4 linked regions of the Arabidopsis thaliana genome follow. The protein of the gene in region 1 interacts with the protein of each later gene in a pairwise test. Each region holds a gene or a part of one and is shown on either strand. Other genes may lie near its edges. The genes, in order: SKP1, FKF1, AT5G45360 and CUL1.

What was found.
Region 2: the proteins of SKP1 (region 1) and FKF1 interact in a two-hybrid assay, tested with the Arabidopsis thaliana proteins (3 studies listed by BioGRID).
Region 3: the proteins of SKP1 (region 1) and AT5G45360 interact in a two-hybrid assay, tested with the Arabidopsis thaliana proteins (3 studies listed by BioGRID).
Region 4: the proteins of SKP1 (region 1) and CUL1 interact in binary tests that used the Arabidopsis thaliana proteins (3 or more experiments, as listed by UniProt).

Annotation. Positions count from the first base shown.
Region 1 is NC_003070.9:28,514,598-28,518,447, forward strand, and holds SKP1 (S phase kinase-associated protein 1), read left to right. Parts: upstream 1-1,921; 5' UTR 1,922-2,117; coding exon 2,118-2,426; intron 2,427-2,683; coding exon 2,684-2,857; 3' UTR 2,858-3,299; downstream 3,300-3,850. Other genes in the region: AT1G75945 (uncharacterized protein), read right to left, coding at 816-897, 1,109-1,212; AT1G75960 (AMP-dependent synthetase and ligase family protein), read left to right, coding at 3,590-3,850. UniProt on the Arabidopsis thaliana protein: Involved in ubiquitination and subsequent proteasomal degradation of target proteins. Together with CUL1, RBX1 and a F-box protein, it forms a SCF E3 ubiquitin ligase complex. The functional specificity of this complex depends on the type of F-box protein.
Region 2 is NC_003070.9:25,506,775-25,511,458, forward strand, and holds FKF1 (flavin-binding, kelch repeat, f box 1), read left to right. Parts: upstream 1-1,864; 5' UTR 1,865-1,962; coding exon 1,963-2,234; intron 2,235-2,335; coding exon 2,336-3,923; 3' UTR 3,924-4,133; downstream 4,134-4,684. Other genes in the region: MAP70-1 (microtubule-associated proteins 70-1), read right to left, coding at 4,618-4,657. UniProt on the Arabidopsis thaliana protein: Component of an E3 ubiquitin ligase complex that plays a central role in blue light-dependent circadian cycles.
Region 3 is NC_003076.8:18,383,961-18,388,401, reverse strand, and holds AT5G45360 (F-box family protein), read left to right. Parts: upstream 1-1,530; 5' UTR 1,531-1,731; coding exon 1,732-1,794; intron 1,795-2,111; coding exon 2,112-2,315; intron 2,316-2,397; coding exon 2,398-2,471; intron 2,472-2,584; coding exon 2,585-2,660; intron 2,661-2,810; coding exon 2,811-2,921; intron 2,922-3,005; coding exon 3,006-3,180; intron 3,181-3,263; coding exon 3,264-3,440; intron 3,441-3,548; coding exon 3,549-3,619; 3' UTR 3,620-3,913; downstream 3,914-4,441.
Region 4 is NC_003075.7:1,126,795-1,134,297, reverse strand, and holds CUL1 (cullin 1), read right to left. Parts: upstream 5,784-7,503; 5' UTR 5,635-5,783; exon of another isoform or gene 5,541-5,634; 5' UTR 5,485-5,540; exon of another isoform or gene 5,440-5,484; intron 5,016-5,439; 5' UTR 4,984-5,015; coding exon 4,853-4,983; intron 4,767-4,852; coding exon 4,667-4,766; intron 4,493-4,666; coding exon 4,307-4,492; intron 4,225-4,306; coding exon 4,177-4,224; intron 4,088-4,176; coding exon 3,884-4,087; intron 3,796-3,883; coding exon 3,718-3,795; intron 3,518-3,717; coding exon 3,428-3,517; intron 3,346-3,427; coding exon 3,265-3,345; intron 3,143-3,264; coding exon 3,083-3,142; intron 3,003-3,082; coding exon 2,973-3,002; intron 2,869-2,972; coding exon 2,782-2,868; intron 2,691-2,781; coding exon 2,541-2,690; intron 2,468-2,540; coding exon 2,412-2,467; intron 2,226-2,411; coding exon 2,105-2,225; intron 2,013-2,104; coding exon 1,851-2,012; intron 1,766-1,850; coding exon 1,622-1,765; intron 1,540-1,621; coding exon 1,321-1,539; and 6 more. Other genes in the region: LD (Homeodomain-like superfamily protein), read left to right, coding at 6,046-6,210, 6,504-6,531, 6,685-6,815, 6,945-7,312, 7,407-7,500.

The sequences.
Region 1 (3,850 bases):
TTCTGATAAGACTCAGTATCTTTAAGAAGATACTTGAATTTGGTAGGTGAGAATCATCATCCTATCCTCCATCCACGGTTTTGTAGAGGGTAATATAATTTTTTCTATGGACAGTAAGAAGTGATAAAAATATAATATTATATAAAAATGTTATAATGCTTTTTTTGTATGACACATGTCCATTTTAAATTACAAAAAACCATGTAAATAAAGAATAAAATACGTTATAACTAAAAAAACTGAATGCATTTCAAAAAAGTTACCATATAATCATATAAGTAAGCATATAAATCATACACCTTATCTTGATGTATATGATTAGTTATAACTAGAAAAGAAAACAAAACAAAGTTGAATATTATATCTAAGAATATATATTACCCATTAAGAAATAAATGAAAGAGAGAATAAAATCCACAGCATTATATAAATATTGTAGCCCTGGGAGTTCGGATATATCGGTTTAATCGGTTCGGTTTATTTAGTTTTTCGGGGTTTTTGGATTTTTTAATTTCTAGCCGAATTGAACCGAACAAAAATTCGGTTCGGGTCGGTTCGGACATCGGTTTTTTCGGTTCGGTTATTGGGTATAAATTAAATTCCGGATTAAACCGATTTTTTTTCTAATTCGGTTAATTTGAACCAAATAAACCACAAATTAAAAAAATGGACTTACAAAAATGAAATCTAATAAAAAACAAACAACAGGCCCAATACACAAATATACAGTTACAATTACAAATCCACAACACAATTATGGGTCAGGTCCATTACAAAATTAGGGTTTTGAGTTTTGACAAAAAAAATATGTACGACTACAACTCCAAACTGCGACGTCGAGCAGTGCCTCTCCAATCTAGTGATCTACCATTCCGACGACGTAATGCCCTACGAGACCTGTTAAACGCCCGTTTGTTATCCATGAAGTAAGAAAAAACATGAGATGGAAGTGTAAACCATAAAAGATCCATAAAAATAATGGATAATCTCAGATTTGGAAGTGTAAAGCCTAACTCTAAAATTTCAGAAATTATAGAGACAGAGGAAGAGCTTAGAGAGCAAAGAATCAAACAAAACAAATGATTAAAGAGAAATAAGAAGAGTTTACCCTAAGAAAGTTGAGGTTGTGGGTTGAATCTCTGAGCAAAGGTTTTTTGTAAGACCAACTGAGATTAGAGAGAATGAAAGAGGCTTGGAAGATGATGAATTCATGAAGGAGAAGAGACGAGTTGATGATTACTAATTCAATCGAAGAAAAATATCAAAGTTTCTTTGTTGTTTTCGCAAGAGGCAGAGAGCCAAAAACGAAGAAGAAACCTAATTAGGTTAAGACTCATCAATTAACCTTATATATGGCTGCAGATTCTCGGTATGGGTGAAACCGATTGGTTCCGATTACCGAACCGACCCGAACCGACTTCCGAATTCTTAAATTAATTTGGCCGATCGGTTCGATCTCCTTAATTCGGTTGCTGCCGAAAACCAAAATTTTCGTTTTTTTCGGTTCGGTTTTCTCGGGTTGAACCGTTATCCCAGGCCTAAAATATTGTATGACTCTTGACCAAAAACTAGTTAGATATATTATTTATTATGACATATTAATATTAACTTAATATAAAATAAAAATAAATGTTCAAAAAACATGATCTTAAAGCTGACAAAGCTGATTTGATTGACTAATACTTATCCTACGGTGATTTTTGGTTCTTTTACTTTTTTTGACAATTATGGAGCTGGATGGAAAAAAAATATATATAAAATCATATATTATTAATAATGAGATAAATACAACGAATTAAACGGATCAAAGTTAATATTTCCAAAAGAAAAATAGAACAGAGTCCTAATTTCATTAATTTCAACTATTGAAAACAAAATTTAAAATCAATAGGATTGATTTCTATTTTTCTTTTAGAAAAACAAAATTTGAAACAATTTCCTAATTTCCCTAAACTTGCGACTTTTTAACAATCGACCGACTTATCAAAATTAGGGATTGTTTTATATATAAAGAGAGACGCATCTCTTTATTTCATTCATCGCTTCTCCAAAATTTTCTTCAAAGAACAAATCTCCCAAATCTAAAATCTTTCTCTTCTCTCTTCGTTTCCATAACCATGTCTGCGAAGAAGATTGTGTTGAAGAGTTCCGATGGTGAATCTTTCGAGGTTGAGGAGGCGGTGGCTCTCGAGTCACAAACCATAGCGCATATGGTTGAAGACGACTGCGTCGACAACGGAGTCCCTCTTCCTAACGTCACGAGCAAGATCCTCGCCAAGGTGATCGAGTATTGCAAGAGGCACGTCGAGGCTGCTGCCTCTAAGGCCGAGGCCGTCGAGGGTGCTGCTACCTCCGATGACGATCTTAAGGCCTGGGACGCTGATTTTATGAAGATCGATCAAGCTACTCTCTTTGAACTCATTCTGGTATGTTTCTTCTCTCGATCTGATTTGATTTTTCCATCGAATTTTGAATTTTGGGATTCTAGGGTTTTCGATTTGGGAAAATTAGGGTTTCGAAATTTAGGTGTTTGTTTCAGAAATTGAATCTGCTTGAGATTGATATTGTTAGGGTTCTTATGGAACCAATCATTAATTGAATCTATCGATTTGGATTATAATCATATCTGTGTTTTTGGATTCGGATTTTGATCTAATGGTTATGAATTTGGGATCTTGTGCAGGCTGCTAATTACCTGAATATCAAGAACTTGCTTGATCTAACATGTCAGACAGTTGCGGATATGATCAAAGGAAAGACTCCAGAAGAGATCCGCACAACGTTCAACATTAAGAACGACTTCACACCAGAGGAAGAGGAAGAGGTTCGCAGAGAGAACCAATGGGCTTTTGAATGATTGATCTTCAGAGAGAAGAATCAAAAGCAGCAAGCAACCAGTTTCTTCTTCCTTATGTTTATTGCCGTTTTCAAGTGTTGTTGATGACTTGCTTTTTAATATTCTTCATGAATCATGACTATCTTCTTCCTCTTCTTTCTTTCTTATCAAGAACCAATGTTTCTTACTCTTTGTGGGATGGATAATTTGTGCTTTTAGATAATCTTCAAGAGTGATGTTGGTTTGTCTTACAAAATAACTTCTTTCAATTGTCTTGCCAATCGCCACAGAATGCTAATTTGCACGATTCATTTTAGGAATGTTCATGTGTAAATAAAAAGAAACTGAATTTGGCAGAGTCTGCAAGCAGAATGTGAAGGATCATGACGACTACTCATTGAAACCAATGGTCACCAGTTATGCCCTGCTCCTGCTCATCTACTTACATAAATATCTGCATCACGTATTTGTATCTTGTCAACATCTTCTCAAATACTAACATAATCAGCATCACCCATTCGTCAACATTCGATAACATGTGGGCTTTGTTTGCATATAAGAAAACAAAGTTTCCACTCAACCGAACGTGGATCACATGTACATCAATATAATTACTTTAATTGTTTGTCTGGCTAGTCAAGTGGTCTCTCGTCTCGTCATTGTGTATCTTATCTTTACTATGAGACTGAAAGAGATATCTTCTTTATATACAGTAACACTCACATTGTGGTCACTCGAAAAGAGCTAAAGAAAATGGAAGATTTGAAGCCAAGTGCCGCTAACTCGTTACCATTGACACTGTTAGGCTTTCTTGAGAGAGCAGCCACCGTGTATGGAGACTGTACCTCCATCGTTTACGGCAATTCCACCGTGTACACATGGCGAGAAACGAATCACCGTTGCCTCTGCGTCGCGTCTGCTCTGTCTTCCATTGGAATAGGAAGATCCGACGTTGTCTCTGTCCTATCTGCTAATACTCCGGAAATGTACGAGCTCCAGTTTTCCGTTCCGATG
Region 2 (4,684 bases), 3.0 Mb from region 1:
TTTTGTGATAACATTATAAATATATATTAACATGTGGAACCCTAATTCTCATTAAACTGCTCACGTTAAAGCACATGCAGTACACCAACCATTTAAATTGTTTTGCTTAGCACGATTTTGTTTCATTCATGATTCAAAACTTCAATTTTTCTTCGTCTGTTTTTATATAAATATTCGAAACATTTATAGAATTTTTTTGTTTTTAATTTGTAATTTGGATGTGGTCAAAAATCATACTTGGATCTATATTGATGTTATACATTTCACGACTTCAAAAGAAACTATTGCTCGCTCTATTTCTGTCATTAATTAACTCATAACTTAACTTACACAAAAATTGAGATGATGACAATCATGAAACTATTTAAAAAGAAAAAGACCAGACCGGCCAATGTTAGACTAGGATTAGTGGCTATTATTCTAGTGACAGGGGTGCGATGAGTACCATTGTTTTTGAACATGTCTCTTTGTCTTCGCGATGAACCAAGCGGTCCCAAAAGTATTGGCAATAGATAGAGCCTCAATACCTTTAATTAATTATAAATTTCCCTGAATTTATATTCTCCAAAAATGAATGTTATTTTTTTCATCAATCAAAAAAAGTTGTTGGGTTTTAGTCCACCAAAAAGATGTTTGAGTTTCGATTGTTTGTGTTCAAAAAATCAAATTACATAACAAAAGCCAGAACTTTTTTTTATATCAAAAAGTAAAGAAAAAATAAGAAAAACAAAAAATCATAACTTTTTTTATTGAGGTGATAAGGAATGTAATTTATTGACGTCTTGTGAACCCGATATAAATCTAAAACTTGAAGTAGCTAATGAAACATAACAGGAAATGTTGGAGTGGTATAGAAATTACCTTTAATTTACCTTTAATTGTATAGAAATTAAAGATAAAATAAAAAGATAAATCTATGAAACAATTATTTTGTCTATATACCAAAAGGGTTAGTTTTCTTGTGTTTAGTTTTTTGGAATGGAAATATATTATTTAAATTGGAATATTTTTTTGGTTGAACACAATTGGAATATGTAAAGGTTGATTTCATGTACTTGAAAGATTATGGTCAGAAGCCTTCTCACACGGTTAAGAAAAATAAAAAAAATATGTTGTCTATTTATTTGGTTCAAATTAAGTTTTTGTGTGGGCTTTGTGGGCTAGCTATTTAGTATGGGCCTAGATCTGGACTTCTGTAAATCTTAGGACTACACTTAACTCTATTACTCTCATAGTATGCCACTATGTGGGGTCTATGGCCACTATTGCTATCAATTATTACATATTTACATTACTTACGTACATTTTCGTATTTCTAATGTAATTTTTTTGTTTAGAAACTTATATAAGTGGGAAGTTTTAGAGCTAAATCTGAATTTTCTCAACTGGGGAGAAAAACTCCCTTGTCTCATCATCCCATTCCACTCACCACGAAAACTCAATTTGTTACATTAACATTATGTGTAACCTTTTCGAGAATCGCGTTTCACAAAAATATCTATTATTTGACCAGAGTCAACGGTTACGTGAATCTGATTCCAATTGCGTTCCAACTTCCAAGTTCCAACACTTCACAAACAAAAACAAATATCTTCCCTCAAATCTCAATCTTCAAAAAAAAAACAAATATCTTTCACAAAATATGATGACGTGGAAGAAGCGAGTGGTTGAGTAGGCTAGATATTTTCTCGGAATATCCCCTGGTGACGTGTTACAATCGAACAAGAGTAGACTTACTTTTTTTAAACATACCCCTGATATATCCTTTTAATTACGAAAATTGCCACCAACTCCTGGCGCGAAGACTTCTTGCCTCGTCTTAAATATAAAGGGTATATTCGTCAATAAGTCACCAACTAAGCCAAGATATTTTAAAAGTTTAAACAGACACAAAAAGAAATAAAATATCATAAGGCTGAGAGCTTATCAGAGAAGAAGAAGATATTTCTGTAAGCGAGAAAAATGGCGAGAGAACATGCGATCGGAGAAGCCACCGGAAAACGAAAGAAACGCGGCAGAGTTGAAGAAGCAGAAGAATACTGTAACGATGGAATCGAAGAACAAGTAGAGGATGAGAAGCTTCCGTTAGAGGTTGGGATGTTCTATTACCCAATGACTCCGCCTTCGTTCATTGTTTCCGATGCTCTGGAGCCAGATTTTCCTTTGATCTATGTCAACAGAGTCTTCGAAGTCTTCACTGGCTATCGTGCCGATGAAGTTCTTGGTCGTAACTGGTATATTAATTTCTCCGATTTCCCCCTTTTTGAATTGGAGTGTGTTGTTATCAATTCTCTTGAATAATGCTGCATTTGTGGTTGAATCTGCTTGGTTTCAGTCGATTCCTACAGTACAGAGATCCTCGAGCTCAAAGGCGTCACCCATTGGTTGATCCTGTGGTTGTATCTGAGATTAGGAGATGTCTTGAAGAAGGTATTGAATTCCAAGGAGAGCTTCTTAATTTCAGAAAAGATGGTACTCCTTTGGTTAACAGACTACGGCTTGCTCCAATACGTGACGATGATGGAACCATTACACACGTAATTGGGATACAGGTCTTCTCTGAAACGACTATAGACCTTGACCGTGTCTCGTATCCTGTGTTCAAACATAAACAACAGCTTGATCAAACATCTGAGTGCTTGTTTCCAAGTGGAAGCCCGAGGTTTAAGGAGCATCATGAAGATTTCTGTGGGATATTGCAGCTATCTGATGAAGTTTTGGCTCATAACATCTTATCTCGGTTAACTCCAAGGGACGTTGCTTCAATTGGTTCTGCTTGCAGGAGGTTGAGGCAGTTGACGAAGAACGAGAGTGTGAGGAAGATGGTATGTCAGAATGCGTGGGGAAAAGAGATAACTGGAACACTGGAGATTATGACTAAGAAGCTAAGATGGGGTCGGTTAGCTAGAGAGCTCACCACTCTTGAAGCTGTGTGTTGGCGTAAATTTACTGTTGGAGGGATTGTACAACCTTCCCGCTGCAATTTCAGCGCGTGTGCTGTTGGGAACCGGCTTGTGCTATTTGGTGGGGAAGGGGTTAACATGCAGCCATTGGATGATACTTTTGTTCTCAATCTTGATGCAGAGTGTCCTGAGTGGCAGCGTGTGAGGGTGACGTCGTCGCCTCCAGGACGTTGGGGACACACACTCTCGTGTCTCAACGGGTCGTGGTTGGTAGTCTTTGGAGGGTGTGGAAGACAAGGATTGCTTAATGATGTATTTGTGCTTGATCTAGACGCTAAGCATCCCACATGGAAGGAAGTAGCAGGAGGAACTCCTCCATTGCCAAGATCTTGGCACAGCTCGTGCACCATTGAGGGCTCTAAACTGGTTGTCTCAGGTGGCTGCACAGACGCTGGAGTGCTTCTCAGCGACACCTTCTTGTTGGATCTGACAACAGATAAACCGACATGGAAAGAGATCCCGACATCATGGGCTCCTCCTTCTAGACTTGGGCATTCTTTATCGGTCTTTGGTCGGACTAAAATCCTAATGTTTGGCGGGCTTGCAAATAGTGGTCATCTAAAGCTAAGGTCAGGGGAGGCATACACTATAGACTTGGAGGATGAAGAACCAAGATGGAGAGAGCTTGAGTGTAGCGCATTCCCAGGCGTGGTTGTACCGCCTCCAAGACTAGACCATGTGGCTGTGAGCATGCCGTGTGGTAGGGTCATCATCTTTGGAGGGTCGATTGCAGGGCTTCACTCTCCTTCGCAACTGTTTCTAATAGATCCTGCAGAAGAGAAACCGTCATGGAGGATCCTGAATGTCCCCGGGAAACCGCCTAAGTTAGCTTGGGGACATAGCACATGCGTTGTTGGAGGAACTAGAGTATTGGTCCTTGGTGGTCACACTGGTGAGGAATGGATACTCAATGAATTACATGAACTCTGCTTGGCTAGCCGGCAAGACTCGGATCTGTAAAGACTCTTTCCTTCTTCATTTGGTTTGTGGTTTTGTATCTGTCACATTCCAAACTCTTACGACATGTAGAAGAGATATATCAGAAGCTAGAAGCGTGTGTACATAGTAAATTAGTGATTGTTGTACGCTTTAGATAGATATTCATGTAATGTTAATGGTTTTGCTGTATGAAGATCCTTCTATAATATACTTCTCCTTGTTACTCGACCATGCAGGATTTGATTTTTGACGTACCATCCAAAAGAGAGAAGACACTGAGTTTGGACATATATATATATATCCACAAACCCAAAAGTAGAAATAATCACACAACACCTCAAGTAAATAGAATGAAGAAACCGAAAAAGTAAAGTACACAAACTTCAATACAGAGCTAAAACCTATACAGCCAAACAAACTACTTCCATAGGACAGAAAATGTTATGCGAAAATGTCAAACATCTCTCCCTCCACCCTTTTTTCTTGTCGTCATCGCTAAGCAGTGTAAGCCGATCTAAGTCAGAAAGCATACTTATCTTTTTCATCCTTAAGTTCTATGGTAATTCAATAAATCACAGAGGATGTAAAGGAAAGCAAGAGAAATAAAAAAGAGATATAAAGGTTAAAAAGAGCTTAAAAATCACACCAGCCTATAACGGTTTTACTTGTTTAAACTGATACGACCACAAGAACTAGTCACATCTCCTCCCTCATCTCATTGTGTACTCCTTGTTAACCCACTTCGGCCAGCAGCTCTGCAGAATATCGAACACCAAGCTTAG
Region 3 (4,441 bases), on another chromosome or scaffold:
CTACCTCCGAATCGAGGAAGAAGAGAAGGAACACCTGTTGACTAAAGAAATTGAGATCCTTTGATTTGCTCTGTAAATTGTAATTCTAACTTCTCTGTTTTTTCGTTCCAAAAAAAAAAAAAACTTCTCTGGTCATTGTAGTCGTTGGTCTTCTTCAATTTGTTAACTATGATTTTTTGTTAAGTTGAGGCAAAAAAAAATTTGCCAGATTATTTTCTTAAATCTTATACACATTGAAGCCTAACAGATTAACACATTTGTTAAATATGCTCATATATCCTACTTAAAAAATATGAAAATTTTCCACAAAAAATGGTGTAATATAAAAATTCGGTTTACTCGGGTTAAACGGTTCGGTTTGTTCGGTTTTCCGGGTTTTTCGGTTTTCAAAAATTCTGCCGAATTGAACCGAACAAAAATTCGGTTCGGTTCGGTTCGGTACTCGGTTTTTTCGGTTCGGTTACTAGGATTTATAATTCGCCGAAATTAAACCGAATTTTTTTTAATCGGTTAACCTAATCAGTTTAGATCACAATATTAGGCATAGTGGGCTGTTTTTAAAGCCCATATCGGCTTTTGACATTTAAAAACCCAAAACTTTTTTTTTGAGGGACAAGTAAAGTCAAAAAGCCCATGACGGTTTTTAACTTTTCAAAACCCAAATTCTTTTTTTCCAGGGACAAGAAAAGCCCATCACACCCATCTAGGGTTTTGTTTTGTTTTATTTTTTGGAAATGACGGCCGTCAAAGAAAAACAAGGGTGAGATGAAGAAGAAGAACATTGAAAACAGAGAAAATAGATTTGTATTGTGCGGTGGTGAGAAAAGATGTAGAGAACCATGAAATCATTGCCAGAGAAGATCGATGTCGCGGTGGCTTAATAGAATATTTCTGCGAACCTAAAAGGTGGAGAAGAAGAACGAAGACAAGGAGAAGAAGGAGGAATAAGGAAGAATTAGAAGGTTAAAAGATAAAAATGGGTTAGAGATGAGGAGAAATAAAGGTGTTCGTGAAGAGGAGAGTTTAGAAAACAAAGAAGATGAAGTGATAGATCTAGGATTTTTCTGTTTTAAAAGGTATCTCCCCAATCCGAACAAAACCGATCGGTTTTGATGAACCGAACCGAAAAACCCGAAAACCGAAATCAATTTAAAATTCTACCGAACGATTTACAACAGAAAATCGGTTTGAAACCGAAAACCGAAATCGTCGGTTTGTTCGGTTCGGTTTAAACGGGTTATGCCGAACTTCCAGGCCTAATTTTTACAGTGTAATACTGAAGTTGGTAAAATATGCCTTTATTTATGTCGATTAGTGGATCTAGTAATATAACATTTCCTTAAATGAAAAAACTCCTTAAAAAGTAGTTGCTGATCCAATAACAAATGTTCTGTTTTAAGAAAATTTAATTATAGTAGTAGTTCGAACGTCGTTAACTCGTAATAATAATTCAGAAAAATGTTGTTATTTAATCACGTTTAGAAAGCTAATTTGTATTAATGACGCTAACGACAAGGAGGAGGGTTAGTGTTATGGGCTTATTTATTAATATATGGCCCATTTAGGTTATTAGCCCATTTATCAAAATTATTCGGCCCGAGGTCGTCTCCAATCTCACGCCACCGATTCCAAACGCCAACCCTCTCGAGTCTTGTCTCTCTCCAATCCTTTCCTTGGCCGCATAAACGCAACCATCGTCGTCGGAGCTTTGATCTTCACCGACTGAAAAGTATGTCTGTTTCCGATGAGGAAGATGAGTGTTTCGCTCGATTCCTCGAATCAGAAGTCTCATCGGTATAAAAATTTCTCCGTTTATTCAAATTTTCGATTTCATTTAGGGTTTAGTAATTTCTTCTCCATCAATCTTTGAATTTTGTAGCTGAATCTGAAATTCTGTCGAGATTTTCCCGTTCCCCTAGTTTTTTTTTTCATTTTTGATAACTTCAGTTCCTTGATCTGTAAATTTGATCTTATATGCATACATTTGAAATTTTTGAAAAATCACATAATTTTTGTTCATGTTCTTCGATTGATGTCCATTGTGATTTTGCTCTTGTTCAGCGTTGTCCTGTGAAAGGTTAGATTATTTATTGATGCTTTGGTTTTTGTAGGTAGAGGATAAAGAAGAAACGAAAGAACCTGAGGCAAAACGGCAACGTATTGAGAAAGGCGAAACAAAGGCTCTAGAGAAGGATGAAGATCAAAAGGAAAATGGTAACAAAGATAAAACTGATGCAAAGAGAATAGAGAGTGGAGTTTTCACCAATGTTCCTACTGAGCTGTTTCGTCATATTCTCAAGTTCTTATCTTCGGAGGTATATACTATATAGTTCAAACTCGAACTTTATTGATGTTTGAGGATTGCTTTTAAACTAAATTGTTTGAATGTCATTACAGGATCTTGTATCATGCTCCTTGGTTTGTAAATTTCTCAATTTTGCTGCGGCTGATGAATCCTTATGGCGTCGCCTGTAAGCCTCTTCTTGTACCCCTTATTGTCGTTGATAATCTTGTTTTCAAAATCAATACTTTGTATTCAAAAACGATGTGATGATCTTATTGGTTGTTTTTTGTTTATATGCAGGTACTGTATCCGGTGGGGTCTAACTCTTCCAAGTAGAAAGTTACGTGAATCTGCTTGGAAGAAGCTTTATATTGATGTGAGTTTCTCCTTGGTTTTTCGTATAAACTTGTTAGATGTTTCCAAGTAGTATTACATTGCTGAAGAATATACAGTGTTAGTTTGCGTTGCTAGTAGAAGTCAGATCATATATATTTTTAAGTGATTCCTTTCTCTTGTCGAATTTTAGCGTGATGAACAGGACATGATTGAACTTGTCAGAACCTGTCCGTCGGATTTCAAGGAGTATTACGTACATATGCAAGCAGCAAAGAGAAGCCAAGCACCTCTTCCGTCCCAGGTAACTATTTATAATTATCTGTTTATGTTTTAGGACAAATCATCACGTGAAGAATTTTCTCATGTTCTTGTTTGCAATTTTTAGATGGTGGATGACCGGATAATTCTTGACAATACTGTACTTGAACAAGTTTCTCTATGGAAGAAAAGCAAAGGACTTACTGATAAGGCTGTCACTGGCCATATTTGTTTGGGAACCAAATGTTCATACCATCAGATTGACGACGTGTTCATATGCAAAGAGACGGGAAATGTTCATGGTATGTAATGAAATGCTGTAAAATGTAACTTTGTTACTGTGTTTTACTCTAAACTTACATAGTTTTTATGGTCTTTATAACAGTATGCGATGATAACTGCAAGGAAGTAATACTGAGTCCAGAGGGTGACCTCATGGTGTGTACTATCTCAGGAGTTTGTTCTGATACTTTACTTGTACAAACTGAGCCAGACGCAGATGGGTGTTATGAGGAAGAAGCTGAACTAGAAGCTGAAGTATTCACAGATAAAAGCCGATTAGGTACACATCTATCTATCTCTTTCTCATATCTCTCACACACTTCCTTTTCCAAATATTATTTTTATTTTCCAACATAAGTGAACTATTTGCGTCTTCTTTTCATCGCAGCCCGAGCTTTTGAACTTGGCTACAACTGCGATGATGAGCAGGAACTGGAACGTACCCTGAGGTTCTGCTGAGCAAAAGTCTCGACCTTTTGTCCAATTTCATAAGGCCTACTTTCTGTAAGGTCTTCTCTCTCTCTCTCTCTCTGACCTGATTCTGCCTGGGTTCTGTGGAGTTGAAATGAATCAAATGTAGCTCTTGTTTTAATCAGTCAGCTTTGTAACGTATACATATATATCATTGTATGTGATTAACATTGTCCTTAAAAAGTGTTACACCTAGTAATTACGTTCCAACTTTATCAGTAAACCTATTGGTAACTAGTAATTTGCTCCCGATATTGGTTTTCTCATTAATTTTTATAGCCATTCTTTGTTCATTTAAACCATATTACAAATTTGTCCTGGTTAGAACTGATTATGATGACAAATCGATGATTAGTTCAAAATGAAGTTTATAGCAATATATTCTAATAACTATACATCAATTATCACCACTGATGTGTTTGAATGAAAAATGAATTGATAATCTTAATAAATGTTTGATTTTATAGATAAGTATAAAGTATGAATGGATTTAGAAAATTTTAGTATTTAGTGAGATAAGCATAAGCAAAACTAGAAAAATGAAATTATTATTAAATAAATTCATTAATACACATTGGCAATGTGACATTGCCTAAAATCAAATATGTACTAATTCAATTAATGTTAATAAGAATTTTTTGGATTCGATTCTCTTGCGAAAGTGCAAATTAAAAGACATTCTTATCTCCTACGTAAACAGAATCACGCGTCCATTGCGCGTTCTCGCAACGCTAAAATATTTACGTTGGAAAATATTCTCATAATTCTCTCCTTTGCCCCCACAGTTTAATATATTTCATAAACACCCCC
Region 4 (7,503 bases), on another chromosome or scaffold:
ATTTGCACATCTCCTCGCAGCTTTTTCATCATAGTGCAATGGCATGATTCTTTGTTTGTTTAACAGAATCTCAAGCAAATAAAAAGTGAGAAACATTTGCTCGATGGAGTAAAATGACTCCGCACCTCAAAACATATATGAACAGAATTTCTCCATGTCGTATATATCATTCTCTGTGTAGGCTCCAAATATCGTCTTTGATGATCCGTTCATAATTCATATTAACCCAAAAAAGAAAGAAAAAAGCACATTGGAATCAAGTAATATAATCCACCAGCTCCACCATTAACCCGTTCAAAATTGTTATTAACCTTAACATACCCGTCTTTGTATCCCAATAATATTTCAGATCATCATACAACAGAAAAACGGCTTAAAATATAAGACATTGGTCCTAAGCAGAAACTATTACGGTTCTGGTGGACTATAGCTAATGACGTAGATGATTACAATGATTTTTAATGTTCGGCGATTGAGGAAGGCACCTTCCGTCGGTTCATCTTTGTCTCATTAGCGTTCGATTATAAGAAATCTCATATTATTTGTTACGACTTTCCCATCCGTCAATATAACACAGAGATACATAAAACTTAAATAATATGATCAAGGATAAATATATTAGAAAGCAGAGATTCATTCATTAAGGCCATTTCTCCATCTCCATTCAATATTTAAGAAACAAAAATCCACAAGGCAAATTTGCATCCCAAAAAAAAAGCACAGACCGAATATTTTTTAAAAGAGAAAAATAGCGAAAATGAAGCGATAAATTTGTTTTAGGACAGTCTCCATATGGACTTCTAAATATACAAGCAGATTCCTTTCATGAGCCAACCACTTCCATAGTTGTTGTTTTTTTGCCCTAAGCCAAGTACCTAAACATGTTAGGATTCTCCTTGTCCCTCTCCAAATAATCTCTGGTTATTAAATCCTCCATACGCTTCTTGATCGCTTTGATATCAGGCTGCAACAAACATCACAAATCCAATGAGTTTCATCACCACGTGCATCTTCAAATGTCTCTGTATAAATATAATTATATGTATAATTTACCTTGAACATTCGGCTAAGTTGCTCAACACACTCAGAAACAAGTTGTTGATGTCCCAATACTTTCCTGCTCTTCATGATCCTGACAATGGCAGCATCAATTGCATATCTTCTGTCTTTATCGACATCTTCAACGACTTTCTTCCTTTCATCAACTGGGGGAAGAGGGATCTGTGACGCAAATCACCCAAGTTGATGTTAGTTATTAACAATATGTAAAACATGACATAAACTTGCAGACTTTTGAGTATTACTATTAACGTCACAAACCTTGATTCTGCGCATTCTATCGGTGAATTTGGAGTTGAACTCAAAGGCATCATTCTGGGAGACAGTCTTGGTGTTTGGCTCCTTAAGGAGTATCTTGTACTTAGCACATGACAAGGAATGAAGCAACCTAACTAGATCTTCATGGCTTAGGTTCAGTTGAGCCAAGATCTCAGTGTAACTTAACTTGTCAGTTGTGTTAAAGAGTAGAAGCACAGCAGCCTATAGAGACAGAGAACGTGGCATCAGAGTCCGTTTACAGATAGAAAATATATATCAGTATTTTCTGAGAAACATACAGTACCTGGTAAGTAGACACTATTAACTCGATGGCCTTTTGATCAAACTTCCCGTTTATGTGACAAGTTCCCAGTGAATAGATCCACGTAAGCTTCCTGTGTTTCGTTTTCGTTTCATAAAACCCTTTGAAGACTTCAACACACTTGATCTGAAACAAAGAATCAACGAATTAGATCTATCAGAAGCAAACAATCTCCTTTTCAGGTATGTAAGAAAATCAATAGAGTTTTTACCATTTCACTGGGTAGATTTATGTCAAATGATTTGTAACTTGGCCAGAAACCAGTGGTAAGAACAGTGACGGTCAAGTCAATCCCTGGGTTTGCAGCAGGGTTACTGCCTAGATAATCCTCGAAACTGTTTTGGTTTTCTCTTGCCAGTGTCAAATCCGTCACCTGTCACCAGCGGATTAAAATTATATAGAAAACATAAGTCATCAGAGCACGCACCGCTTTAAAATAAGAAACACAGGGACACTCAAACTAACCATGCCCTCCATCTTAGAAGTAAACTGTCCACCACATTGTTGCTTGAGCTTTGTCAGGATACTTCTCTCATGATCATCATTAGCACTGCGATCAAATAAGAGCCTACGGGCCAGCTTCTTCCTGCAATCAAAACCATAAACAAAATGGCTTGCAACTCAGTAATCCAACTTATGTCAATCAAATTGTATATTGTTGCAAGGCATCTCCACAAAAAGCTAGTAAAAACAAAACATTACAAGAAAAACAAAGAGTAGAAGCAAAAAGAGTCGATCCACAGATAAAGAAAGATTGAAGTTGGAGATAAACCTGTAGAACTCAGCGAAAAGATCCTTGTCACTTATGTATGCAAGCAATTTGACAACCTGTAACAACATTATAAAATTCAGGACCACTCTTTGGAGACTTGAAAAAGAAAAAACAGTTTGACAAAAGTACCTTCTCAAGCGTATCTTCGATAGCTTCATCACTCAGCTTTTCACTTCCCCCCTTTTTGAGAATATTGTCGCAAAATGTTGCAAGTAGTTCTGCACTTGAACTTCCAGCAACCGTTTTGTTACAAAAAATCTCAAATGCCTCTTTCAAAGCCTAAAATATGTTTCCATAAACTTAGGTTAGTAACACAACATAAACATGAATAAGATAGACAAATGACAAGTGCGCAGAAAGAACATTAGACCTTATGGAAGAGGGTGTGGTTCTGGAAACACTCGGTGACATATACCATGTATTTATCATGAAGTTCAATCACTTTTCTGATAAGAACCTGGAAATAATGAAAGGACAGTGAATCGTTAGCAATTTTATCCCCAAAAAAAATGAATCTCTAATTTCCAATATATCTTTACTACAATCGGTTTATAATTTTACCTGTTCCTGGACGCTAGCAGTATTTGCAACCTGTGGAATAAAAACGATCTTAGCAATCACAAACGAAGAAAGAAGAGTTATCCGAATATAACAAGTAAGATAATATGAACCTGATTAGTAGCCGTGTCTTCGGCCTGTTGGACAAGAGCGTTACCCTCTGCTGTGACATGCTGTGAACGAATAACAAGTTACAGTTAATGTCATACAGTAATTAAGAGACTGCAAGTAGACCATGAAGAAAAGACTATCCATTTGCTAATCATAAACAAAAGAATGAAGATAGGTAATAAACCTGCTTAAAGATGTTTGCAACAGGTTCCAAGCCTCGCAAAATTTTATGGTAAAGCCTGTACATCCTGGAGAGATCATCCACCTGAAAGTAGACAAATATAACCATTAAAGAAATAATTAAGTCACTAACTACTCAACAATAAAAACAAAAATACTTGCTCTACCTTGTCATCTCTTAGCAATGCACGGCACCCTGAGTGTTCTTTTTCTAGAAGCTGACTTGCAAACACAACCAGCAATTCATGTTGTACTTTCTGCATACAAAAGATTACTATACAAGTCAAACAGATATCAATCTTTAAAATCAAGTATGCCTGGACTACGCATTTAAAAAGAGTCTGGAAAGTATCTCAATACAAATAACAAAATTCAAAATCAAGGCTTATGCAAGATCTATGGTTTCTTCATCAAACCTACAAGTACAGGCATAATTACATAGTGCATAATAACCAACCTCAACCAGCTTTGGCTCACTGCTTGAGTGTAGGTAGTGAGCCACTCTCTCCCTCTCCTTCTTTAGACATTCTTCAGACTGTAACATGAAAGCACAGAAGTTAATAAATAATTTCAACTATTGTGAAATAAAAACAAATTTTAGAAAATGATATCACGAGTCATGCCTTCAACATGTAATCAGGGCAAGAATCTTCCTGAATCCAGCTTGATGCCTTGCGAGAATAATACGAAGAAGTATCTTGAAGCATGAAGCTTTCAAAATCTTCTTCATACCTCTCCATCTGCCCCATTCCAATCTCTACATAGATATCTAATACGTTTTTCAGCAGGGCCCTATCAATCTGCTCGCCCTCCCGTTCTTTATCAACCTGACAGAAGAACAGGTCATGTTAGACCTTGAATCAGGCAAAAGCCAGAGTTGGATGTAACTGCACAACAATATTGACGCCATACTTACAAGAGCTATTACAGCTTGTTTGACCTTAGAATGTAGCTCATTATAAACCTGAAGCGAACAGAATCAAGGAAAAGTTAAAAATATTTCAATACAACTGAAAGCTATAAAGCCACAGGAATGAATGCCATACCAGGTCACGGAAGCATGTCAGGCCAACTTCATTCAGTGGTGGAAGTGATCTCCGAGCAATGAAGTAACGGTCAAGGTAGTAGAAGAAGCGGGATAGCCATCTGACCATTACTTTATGGTTTGACCATCTTTTAAATAGCTCCCGCAGCATAAACTCATCATGCTTCTCCCTCAACGCAGGCAAAACCTAACCACAGACAACAAGAGAGCAAACATTCAAAACCGTTTGAATCAACTTAAAACCAAGAGGGGACAGGACTTCTTGACATATGAAACCATGCACAAAAGTGGCATCTTAAAATTCAGAGGTAGTAAAAACGAGAAGTTTATAAGAAAGAAACTAAATATCAATCAGACTCACTGTTGAGTTAATATATTCCTCAAATGCTTCCCGATACTTGTCATAAAGCTGCTGTGAGTAATCATGAGGAGGTTTCTGGGTGCACATGTTGTAGATAGTCCTGAGAATCAAATAAATTCCCCATCATAAGTATCAGGACAAACAGCCAAACCGCTATATAAGGTAATAAACAAGTATAAAACCTACGTATAAAGCATCATATATTGCTCAGAGTCAAATGCTGGCTCATTCAATCCTTCCAGAATCCGTTTCAGCTTAGTAATTCCAGTCTGCATATAGTCCCATCCTTGCTCCAAGTCAATAGTCTTGCGCTCCATGTTGACAAACAACTTTTCAAGCTCTCCTCAACCTAAGTTAACCAAAGAACAAGGAGAAAACCAAAATTTAGAACAGCAGTATTAAGCAACACAATGAAATGACTGAAGCGAGAGAGTCAACAATATTTATCATTCTTCAGAGGTTATAATAACACGTTAACACCCACATTATCGAATGCGAAACGAGTATTATCACCCAAATCAAACCCAAACTATCAGATTGTGCGCAAACGAGGACATAAGCATCAGAATATACTCGAGAAACAATCAATCCATGAGATAAACACGAAATTACACAGTAGAAACGCAATCCAGAGACTCCGACGTAACCCTAACAATCTCGATCCCACAAAAATTCAAATAAAAACCTAGAAAGACGAACAATCAACAGAATGATAAAAAAATCAACTGTCGTATGGAACAAAACAAGCGAGAATCCGACAGAAATAGTGATACCTCGAGATCTTAAACCCTAATAATCAGAAAATCGCGTCGCCGTACCCCAAACAGACCCTGACGATTACCGATTCCCGATTACACAGGATCGGCGAGAGCTGCTGCGATCGAAAAAGAAGCGAGAGAGAGAGAGAATCAAAACCCTAAGAATCGTTCAGGAAAAAAGCGTAAAATAGAGAGAAAGAGAGACGAGACCTATGAGAAGGGCGGTGAAAAGATATCTCAGGAAACAAACTCGTTCTCTTCTATTCTATTATTTTCAGGTCTTATAGATTTAATTATTTTTATTTTATGTCAACTAATATATTAGTATAATATTAAACAAATTTAATTTCTTACCTTTTCAGAGATCTACATCAAGACGCTGCGTTTTATAATTTTTCTTTGTAAAGTAACTTATTTACTTTTATGCCCCTTTATTTTGCCTTCCTTACTCAAACCCTAACCCGAATCGGCTTTTTGACAATCCGAAATTAGGTAACCATGTTCATTGAATTTATCGTTTCAACACATTCGAATCACTGAGTCCTACGTTTCAGTTTAATTCCCTGATGCACATTTTGAATTCGGTTTGCGTATTGGTCTTCGAGTTTTCCGTCGGCGGCCATGGACGCGTTCAAGGAGGAGATAGAAATCGGGAGCTCGGTGGAGTCTTTAATGGAGCTATTGGATTCGCAGAAGGTGCTTTTTCATAGCCAGATCGATCAGCTCCAAGATGTCGTCGTTGCGCAATGCAAACTTACCGGCGTTAATCCCCTTGCGCAAGAAATGGTGGGTTATTGTTTCTATGTTTTTTGGTATCTAAAGTTCGTGTTTTATTGGGGTATGGTGATATGGGCAAAGCTGAGAGGGACAGGTCATTCGGATTTTGGAATAAATTCTTTGAAGGGTATTGAGTCTAGCAAAAATTAGAGGTGTTTTTGGTATAAATTCATATAGCTCGACCTCTCCGTTTCTTCTGTGAACTGTAATGGTGATGCTTCAACTGTTTATATGTCATTTCTCTGATCAAGTAATCATCTCTGTTAAAGACATTAATCTGTTTAATTTTTTTGTTGTTTCAGGCTGCTGGTGCTTTGTCCATTAAAATTGGTGAGTCATCTTAGGATTCGTGAGATCTTTTGGCATAATTACGTATATCACAGAGAATGTTTCAATTCATTGTTGCTCTCTAGGTTCATTAAAGGCATACCCAACTTTTACGTGCTCGATGCCTAGTATCTGATGAATTTGTAAATATTTCAGGAAAGCGGCCAAGAGACTTGTTGAATCCTAAGGCTGTTAAGTATCTACAAGCAGTTTTCGCAATTAAAGATGCTATTAGTAAGAGGGAATCTCGGGAGATAAGTGCTTTATTTGGCATCACAGTCGCCCAGGTATTGTTCTTCTACATGATATGTACTCTTTTTTGCCATGCTTTTAGAATTCCATGTCAGTTTAGATCTGTCATGTTGAGGTACTCATGAGACTTTGGTTTGTCTCTTTATTATTTTCTTCAATGGCAGGTTCGAGAATTTTTTGTTACTCAAAAGACAAGAGTGAGGAAACAGGTGAGGCTTTCAAGGGAGAAAGTAGTTATGTCCAATACGCATGCTTTACAAGATGATGGTGTTCCGGAAAATAACAATGCCACAAATCATGTTGAACCCGTTCCCTTGAACTCTATACATCCGGAGGCATGTTCTATAAGCTGGGGTGAAGGTGAAACAGTGGCACTTATTCCACCTGAAGATATTCCACCTGACATCAGCGATTCAGACAAATACTTTGTTGAGAATATATTTTCTCTGCTGCGTAAAGAGGAAACATTTTCAGGCCAGGTGAAACTAATGGAGTGGATCATGCAGATACAAGATGCTTCTGTGCTGATCTGGTACTAGTTGGGGGTTCTCTTTCACCCACTGTCTTATTTTATTTTATTGTTATTATATTCCCGTCTTGACAGTCATTTTCTATATGTGCCACAGGTTTTTATCAAAAGGAGGGGTTTTGATACTTACAACATGGTTAAGTCAAGCTGCTAGTGAAGAGCAAACAAGTGTCTTACTTCTTATCCTGAAGGTA